Linked DNA regions of Oryctolagus cuniculus. The protein of the gene in region 2 interacts with the protein of the main gene of each other region in a pairwise test. Links are inferred from orthologs where the notes say so. Each region holds a gene or a part of one and is shown on either strand. Other genes may lie near its edges.

Region 1 (4,450 bases), on a different chromosome or scaffold from region 2:
GTCTATTTCCCTGAAGAAATGGAGGAACAAATTATGAACAAGTGATTGCTGTTCGACTCTCTGTTCTAAGAGGACCAAGTGCTTCCCGTGTGTCCCGACTGGGATCCCCTGGCTATCACCCCTCGGCCCTCTGCCTGGCTGGGGGAAGCCTTATTTAGCCCGGCCTGGCGCTGCTGAGCTTTCCTTGGGAATGTCTATGTGTAGGGGGAGGGGCGGCCCAGTTGCCACTGTCCATCTGCCCTCCTTGGTGTCCAGCCCCCATTGCCTGGCTCCCACACCGCCCTCGGTTGTCCTAGTGCTTTCTGGTGATTTCTGGTCACATGGCCATATGACCGTGAGCCTTGTCTGCTCCCCAGCACCCAGCCTAGGCTCTGGCCTCTCAGAGTGGGTGGGCTTGCCTTGGACTTCACCTGCCGGGGACCAGACTTCACTGCCCCTTTGCCTTCTGCCTAACCCACTGCCCAAGTCAGCGGATCACAGACACCCTTTTCCTGGGGCGGGGACTCTGAGAGAGCACTCTGCTTTGGATGCCTCCTCCTCCTCCGAGGGCTCCTCTATTCCTCTGGACGGTTCTCCTGGGTGGGCTCCCCCAAGTCGGGATTAACAGGAATCATCAACAGGACTACGGCTTTTATGATTCACAAAAATTAGCCCCAGTGAAATGGGGATAATAATAGCTGCTACCTCATAGGACGCACACCAGGCGAGATCCTGTGGTTGAAATGTCTGGCCCAGTGTGGCCCATCCTGGAGGTTCAACCAGTGGTGCCTAAGTACCGCTTTCCCCTCCTGAGCCCTGCCCCTCACTGTAGTTCGGAGACAGGACATTGTACTTGCCAAGCACCCACCCTGTGGGTCTGGCACAAGCTAGATGACTTAGAGACCTGAGCATCCTTCTGCCATGGTCTGACTGCCATGTCACCAATGAGGATACTGGGCTCAGAGCGGCTGCTTTACCCGCCCAAGGTCACACACCTTGCCGAGGCAGGGACCTGGACCTTGGGACTTCAAGGCTTGTGCTGTTCCCGTTCTACCATGCTGCGTCACTTGTCACTGTTCCGATCCTCCTCCTCCATCTTGGAGCCAGTGTGCTTCCTGGGGTGGGGGGTGGGGCTCTAAGGCGGCGGAGCAGGGTGGGGCCTCCTCCCAAGAATCTGGGACGTCAAGGCTTGCCACCTGCTCAGGGGCTTAAATTTCTCTGCAAGGGCCCTTGGCTAAATTAGGTAATGGGCTAGGACTCTGGGAGGGGTGGGGCTTGCTGACCCCAGGATCTGATTGGGCAGGGTATCCATTCCTGGGGAGCAGGGGGGTGGGAGGACAGGATGCCCCTACAAATCCCGGGGGCTGGAGTGGGCCACTGCGTCTGTGCGTGGTGGAGTTCAGGGGAGGCGGCTCACGGCAGGGGTGGCCCAGTGACCAGCAACCATGGTAAGGACATGAAGGGACTCTGCTCTGCTGGCTGGGGGCACTTCTAGACCTCTTTCAAGCAGATCTGGGTGTTCTGTGGGGTGGGAACTTAGATGCTTGATGGGGGGCGAGAAGGTTGTGGAACACAGGTGTTCAGAGGAAGCCTGGGAAGTCCTTTGACTTCTCTTGGTTGGGGAGGGCTGGATGTCCCAGGGATTGGTCCTGCGGCCACTGTGCTGCCCACTGCGGAGGCTTCCAGCAGTGCTAGGCACAGAGCTCCGGGAGGTCTTATCCCATCTCCTTTATGGTGGTGACAGACCCCCAGGGGCTGCAGTGAGTTCCCCAGGGAGCCAGTGGTGGGGGGTGGGGGATGGGCTGGAAGCCTGGCCAAACCCTCCTGCTGTCAGTGAGAGAAGAAAGCCAGCTCCTAGGAAGATGGGAGGCCCACAGGGCCCCACGCCAACTCCAAGAGCCCTGAGGATGACGGAAGGGGCAGGAGACAGCAGTCGGAGGGACCCCCACCTCCCCGGGAGGGGTTTTGATTTGGGACTGAGGTTCCCCCTCCAGAGATCACTTCAAGGAGTAACTGGACCCCAGAGGCCAGCTGCTGCTGCCCATGCCCTGCTAAAAATAGCCTGCCCTCCTGGCACAGGCGGAGAGGAGGGCAAGAAAGAGGGGGAGAAACAGGAGGCCCAGGGCCAGGGCCCAGAACTGCTTGTCCATCTCACCCCTGCCTCACTGCCAGCCCCAGACTAGAGCCCCCAACCCGGATGGCCTGGCCCGGATGGGTCGTGGACGGCTCATTTTCACGCCACCCTCCGCCTAGCCTGAGGGCCGTGCACTCCAATGCCTGCTTGGCACCTCCACGCATGTGCCCCTGTCAGCCGGGGGTCCCCGTGTCTGGGCTGTGGCCTGACACTTAGCTAGTGCTCAGTACTCTGGGTTGCGTCATTACTGCACCCTGGAGCGGTGCAGGTACCTTGCAAAGCCCCTTTCCCGCCTCCGATTTCATCTCAGCCCCGAAAAGCCACTGAGAGGAGACCAGGGCGTGACCTGCGGCTTCCCCAAAGTCCCCAGGGGGCAGGGTGTGTGTTGGGGGGCTGGGTTGTGCCTGACTTGGCCCTACAAGTATTGCCGAATGAGGACCTCTGACCTAATCTGGGTCTCCGCTCTTGTCAGGTGCCGTGGGGACACACAGGTGGGACAGGTTTCCTGACGGAGGAGGGCGCTACACAGGGCGGGGTCGAGGTGGGACTGGGTGAGCAGGGTGGTCCTCCTGTGCTCTGACCCTGTGTCTCCTGCAGACGGACCAGCAGGCTGAGGCCCGGTCCTACCTCAGCGAGGAGATGATCGCTGGTGAGTGCAGGGTGGGGTGAGGGTGTGTGTGCAAGGGGGCGTGTGGGAGGGTGACATGTGCCAGGGCACATGTGTGGGGTCTGGGCAGCAGTGGGGGTGGGTGTGAGCCTGGCAGGCCAGCCCACCTCACCTCAGCTCTCCCCTCCACCCCCCTGCAGAGTTCAAGGCCGCCTTCGACATGTTTGATGCTGATGGCGGTGGTGACATCAGCGTCAAGGAGTTGGGCACAGTCATGAGGATGCTGGGCCAGACACCCACCAAAGAGGAGCTGGACGCCATCATCGAGGAGGTGGATGAGGATGGTGAGCGGGCAGCCCCGCCCAGGTCAGGGCCGCGGGGGCGCGAGGTGGGCCCGGGGCGGCGCTCAGTGCCTGCCCTGCGCCCGCAGGCAGCGGCACCATCGACTTCGAGGAGTTCTTGGTCATGATGGTGCGCCAGATGAAAGAGGACGCCAAGGGCAAGAGCGAGGAGGAGCTGGCCGAGTGCTTCCGCATCTTCGACAGGTGCGCGGGGTGGGGGAGCGCGGGGCGCGCGGGGCGGGGGGGCTCTCCCACGGGCACAGCACGGGAATGCCTGGGGGGTGCGGGTGCGCGAGGGGCGCGTGCAGCGACGCCCGGGCAGCTGCTGAGCCCTGTCCCGGCCCTCGGCCCCGAAGGAACGCAGACGGCTACATCGACGCCGAGGAGCTGGCTGAGATTTTCAGGGCCTCTGGGGAGCACGTGACGGACGAGGAGATCGAATCCCTGATGAAGGACGGGGACAAGAACAACGACGGCCGCATTGACTTCGACGGTGAGCGCCCGGCAGTCGCGGGCCGGCGTCGGGGGCGTGGCAGGCCTCGGCCCCGCGGGTGGGGCTGGGCGTGGACCGAGCGGAGCCGCCCCCAGCCCCCGCGGGCGGGCGGGTGGGCAGTGCTGGCGCTGAGCCTCGCCCTTGCTTTCCTGCAGAGTTCCTGAAGATGATGGAGGGCGTGCAGTAAGGCTGGGGTCTCAGCCTCGGCCCCGCCGGCTCGTTCCCTGCCCCGCGCAGGGGGCGCGGCCCCTTCTGGCTCCGTGTCTGGAAGGAATAAAAGCAAACGTTGCCAAGCTCATGGCCTGAGTGAGGGGCGGGCCGGGGCTGCGGGGAGCGGGATGCGGCGGGGGCCACGGGGGGCTTCGGGCCGAGGGAGAGGGGGTGGAGCCCCCTGCCTGCCCCATCGCCCATGCGTTCCCGAGCCTCTGAGCGTGGGTGTCAGGCTCGCCGTCGTGGGCCGGCTCCCGGGCCGGGAGCGGGGCGACGGCAGCGTTTTCTGCGAGCCCGCTCGGTCTGGTCCGTTCTTCCAGCGCTTGCGGGGCACCCGGCGCTGGCAGCGGAGAGGGGGCAGCAGCTCCTCCCCGGGGGGCCCCCGCCACGGGCCGACCGCCGACCGCGAGAACCAGCTCCCGGGAACCTGACCGGGCCGCGCCCCCGCTGAACGTCCTGCAGGACCCCTCGGGGCCTCCAGAATCCAATCCAGATGCCTCGCTCTGGGCTCCCTCACTCCTCCCGCCGCCGCTCCTGCGTTTGCCGGCCTCTGGGCCCTTGCACGCTGCTGTTCCCGCTCCCTGCAATGCTCTTCCCCTTATGATCCTGGCAAATTCTTCAACCCACGAGGCCCAACGCGGAGACCATCTCCCCCCTTGATCCCTGCACCCACAAGCTGCAGATCT
Region 2 (4,239 bases):
CGAGTTCCCTGTCTGGGATTCTCATGTGCGCCCCTGGCGTTCTGGAATGTTCTCTGGGATTGCAGGTTCCACCTCGGAGCCCCCAGCTGGCGCCGGCCACCTCCTCGCAGGGGTGGGGCGGGCTCGGGCGGGCCCGCTGGCACCCACATGATGAGAATAAAGAGTCCAGTACTTGGCACGCCGCGTCCTGTGTCCCTGTGTCCTGGGGTCGGGGTCTGGGATGGGGCTGGGTTAGGGGTCAGAGGGAGGAGGGGCTGGGGCCTGGGCTCTGTGAGTCCGAGGGAGGAGGGCTGGGGCCTGGGCTCTGTGAGTCCGAGGGAGGAGGGCTGGGGCCTGGGCTCTTTGTGAGTCTGAGGGAGGAGAGATGGGCCTGGGCTCTGTGAGTCTGAGGGAGGCGGGTTGGGGCCTGGGCTCTGTGAGTCTGAGGGAGGAGGGTCTGGGGCCTGGGCTCTGTGAGTCTGAGGGAGGAGAGATGGGCCTGGGCTCTGTGAGTCTGAGGGAGGCGGGTTGGGGCCTGGGCTCTGTGAGTCTGAGGGAGGAGGGTCTGGGGCCTGGGCTCTGTGAGTCTGAGGGAGGAGGATCTGGGGCCTGGGCTCTGTGAGTCTGAGGGAGGAGGGCTGGGGCCTGGGCTCTGTGAGTCTGAGGGAGGAGGGATGGGCCTGGGCTCTGTGAGTCTGAGGGAGGAGGGCTGGGGCCTGGGCTCTTTGTGAGTCTGAGGGAGGAGGGATGGGACTGGGCTCTCTTGAGTCTGAGGGAGGAGGGCTGGGCCTGGGCTCTGTGAGTCTGAGGGAGGAGGGATGGGCCTGGGCTCTGTGAGTCTGAGGGAGGGGGGCTGGGGCCTGGGCTCTGTGAGTCTGAGGGAGGAGGGTCTGGGGCCTGGGCTCTGTGAGTCTGAGGGAGGAGGGCTGGGGCCTGGGCTCTGTGAGTCTGAGGGAGGAGGGTCTGGGGCCTGGGCTCTGTGAGTCTGAGGGAGGAGGATCTGGGGCCTGGGCTCTGTGAGTCTGAGGGAGGAGGGCTGGGGCCTGGGCTCTGTGAGTCTGAGGGAGGGGGTCTGGGGCCTGGGATCTGTGAGTCTGAGGGAGGAGGGCTGGGGCCTGGGCTCTTTGTGAGTCTGAGGGAGGAGGGCTGGGCCTGGGCTCTGTGAGTCTGAGGGAGGAGGGTTGGGGCCTGGGTGAGATGGAGGTCTGGGGGGCCGAGCAGAGGGGTCCAGTTTCTGTCCCTGGGTGGCGCTGGCCCTGCTGCACACGGCCCGCCTGCCCCTCGTGTGCGCTCACGCGCCCCGTTATCTGCCCCAGCGGAGGAGGGGCGGGGAGGTATATTTAGTCGGCCCTCGCCCTTCAGCTCAGTGTCCTTGGTGAGCCCTGTGCAGCCCGGAGGAGCCCCTACGGCCAGGGGGCTCCAAGGTCACCCGGACGCCCACTCCTGAGTCAGCATGGCAGACGAGTGCGTGAGGCTGGGCCACCGGACCCCCGAGGTCTCGAGGGCGTGGGGGGTGGGGGCGTGTGCCTGGGCTCTCCAGGGGGAACCCGGGACCTGGGACGGAGTCAGGGGTGGGACCCCGGGCTGGGAAGTGTGAGAGTGTGGGGATCCCTCCTGGGACGTGACCTCCGGGCCAGGGAGGCCTCTGGGGTCCCCCAGGAGCTGGAGCGGCACAGGCCCCACCCTGATCCCGCCTCTGTTCTTCCCCTGCAGGAGCCGGGATGCGGTGAGCGCCCCGGGTAGAGGCTGGGTGGAGACCCCGAGGCTGGGCGGGGACCCCTGAGACTCTGAGTGGGGACCCCCAGGCTCTAGGTGGGCGGGTGGGCAGGGGGCAGGGCCAGGGTCTTGGTGATGATGGGCCCCTCCACGCCAGGCAGGGGAAGCGCGCCCCGCGCCAGCCCCGGTGCGACGCCGCTCCTCCGCCAACTACCGCGCCTACGCCACGGAGCCGCACGCCAAGGTGGGCGGGCTGCGGGGCCTCGCGGGACCCAGGAGGGACCACGGAGGGAAGGGCAGAGCCAAGGCCTAGGATGAGGAAGATGTGGTCGTGGGTGGGGCCGAGGAGGTGGTGGGCGGGGCTTGGGAGAAGCCGGGCTCGGATTGGTGGGAACGGCCTGTGGGCGGAGCCAGGGCCTAGGATAAGAGGGAACATGGTCGTGGGCGGGGCCGAGGAGCTGGTGGGCGGGGCTTGGGAGGAGCCGGGCTCGGATTGGTGGGAGCAGCCTGTAGGCGGAGCTCCGTTGCCCATGACGTTGCTTAGGAGGTGGGTAGGCGGTGCCTAGCCAGAGTCTGAGCCCAGATTGGTGGGCGGGGACGAGGGGCGTGGCTTCCTCTGGACGCGGGCTTCAAGTTGGAGGCGGGCGCACATCTGGACGGGCCTGAAGGGATGGTGACGCCCCTCGGAGGGTCTCAGTCCTCCATCCAACCGTGTCACTCCGGCAGAAAAAGTCTAAGATCTCGGCCTCAAGGAAACTGCAGCTGAAGGTGAGGGTCGACCGGGGGTGGGGGTGGGGGGCAGGCTAACCAGGGGGCGGGGCTTGCATAAATTAGGGCTGGGCTTGGGTAGGTGGGGCGGGGCCTTGGACGTGTCCTTGCGGAGAGGGCGGGGCCTAGGGTTAAAGGGGTACCCGCTCATCCTGAGACCCCGGGGTGGGCTGCCGCCCGCCCACCCCTGCAGACCCTGATGCTGCAGAGTGCCAGGGCGCTGTCTTTATCCCGAGACGCCGCCCCGCCCACGTCTGCAGACCCTGATGCTGCAGATCGCCAAGCAGGAGCTGGAGCGGGAGGCGGAGGAGCGACGCGGAGAGAAGGGGCGCGCTCTGAGCACCCGGTGCCAGCCCTTGGAGCTGGCGGGGCTGGGCTTCGCCGAGCTGCAGGTACCCGCGCCCACCTTCCGTTCAGGACCGGGGGTCCAGTGTCGTAGCCTGTCCCCTCAGGGAAGCAGAATCTGGCCTGCAACCACGCACAGCCACAAAGCCCAGGGCCGGCTCCCCGCAGCCCAAGCCCGTCAGTCTCCGGCTCCCATACAACCTCTGCGTGCCTGTCCCTGGAGCCGCAGCTCCAGCGTCGCCCCCTTCAAGGCCACTTCCGGCCCCTCCTCCCTCAGACCAGGATTTCAAGGGTCCTCTGGCCTGCCCCCCACAACACACTCGGAATTCCTCCGCCAGGACTTGTGCAGACAGCTCCACGCCCGCGTGGACAAGGTGGACGAAGAGAGATACGACGTAGAGGCAAAGGTTACCAAGAACATCACCGAGGTGCGGGCGCCTGGGGCTGTGGTCTCAGCCCTCAGTCGCAGACCCCAGGGGACGGGGACAAGTCCATGAGCCTGGCAGGGTGGCAGCGGGATACGGGCAGGGAAGGCCGTTCCAGGCAGGATCGGCATATGCGAAGCTGGGGAGGGATGTGAGTGGGGGGTGGGGCATAAGGAAGTGAGCTCAGGTGGAGCTGAGCAGGTGGTCTTGCGAACGAGGCTGGGTTGCAGGAGAGGGGTTCAGTTTCCCAGGGTTGGAAGCTTGGTCTGGGAGCTGGAGCTGGGGAGAGGCTGGGTGAGGCCGAGATGCTGGAAGGGGGCGCCGCAGGAGGGAGGGGTCCCCACTTCCAGTGTGGCCGCCCCCAGATTGCAGACCTGACCCAGAAGATCTTTGACCTGCGGGGCAAGTTTAAGCGACCCACCCTGCGGAGGGTGCGGATCTCTGCAGACGCCATGATGCAGGCGCTGCTGGGGACCCGGGCTAAGGAGACCTTGGACCTGCGGGCCCACCTGAAGCAGGTGAAGAAGGAGGACACGGAGAAGGTGAGCGCGGGCCAGGGCCAGGGAAGGGGTACCGAGGTGAGGGGCCGCTGCGGCAGCAGCCCCAGGGTCTGGCCCCTGGGCAGATGCTTCCTGGAGCTGAGGGGACAGGCAGCTGGTGAGGGGTCCTCAGCAGGAAGTATGGGAGGGCCGCAGGAAGTGCAAGAGAAAGACAGGAAGTAGGAAGGAGGACAGGAAGTGCATTGGCAAGAGTAGGTAGGGAGGACAGGAAGTGCATGAGGGAGAGAGAAGGATGCTGGGAGGAGACAAAGGAAGGGGGACAGGAAGTGCATGACAGACAGGAAGTGATGAGGAGACAGGAAGTGATGGGGGAGACACACAGGAAGTGCATGAGGGGACACAGACAGGAAGTGCATGAGGGGGACAGGAAGTGCATGACAGACAGGAAGTGATGAGGAGACAGGAAGTGATGGGGGAGACACGCAGGAAGTGCATGAGGGGACAGA

What was found.
Region 1: the proteins of TNNI3 (region 2) and TNNC2 interact in binary tests that used the Homo sapiens proteins (3 or more experiments, as listed by UniProt). The two-hybrid records come from large-scale screens. The link is inferred for Oryctolagus cuniculus from reciprocal best matches to the Homo sapiens genes TNNI3 and TNNC2.

The regions. Positions count from the first base shown.
Region 1 is NC_091442.1:13,567,323-13,571,772, forward strand, and holds TNNC2 (troponin C, skeletal muscle), read left to right. Parts: upstream 1-1,369; 5' UTR 1,370-1,424; coding exon 1,425-1,427; intron 1,428-2,710; coding exon 2,711-2,762; intron 2,763-2,920; coding exon 2,921-3,064; intron 3,065-3,150; coding exon 3,151-3,265; intron 3,266-3,417; coding exon 3,418-3,554; intron 3,555-3,709; coding exon 3,710-3,741; 3' UTR 3,742-3,845; downstream 3,846-4,450. UniProt on the Homo sapiens protein: Troponin is the central regulatory protein of striated muscle contraction. Tn consists of three components: Tn-I which is the inhibitor of actomyosin ATPase, Tn-T which contains the binding site for tropomyosin and Tn-C.
Region 2 is NC_091449.1:3,700,994-3,705,232, forward strand, and holds the start of TNNI3 (troponin I, cardiac muscle), read left to right. Parts: upstream 1-1,334; 5' UTR 1,335-1,432; coding exon 1,433-1,474; intron 1,475-1,852; coding exon 1,853-1,939; intron 1,940-2,421; coding exon 2,422-2,463; intron 2,464-2,723; coding exon 2,724-2,855; intron 2,856-3,146; coding exon 3,147-3,236; intron 3,237-3,598; coding exon 3,599-3,775; intron 3,776-4,239. UniProt on the Homo sapiens protein: Troponin I is the inhibitory subunit of troponin, the thin filament regulatory complex which confers calcium-sensitivity to striated muscle actomyosin ATPase activity.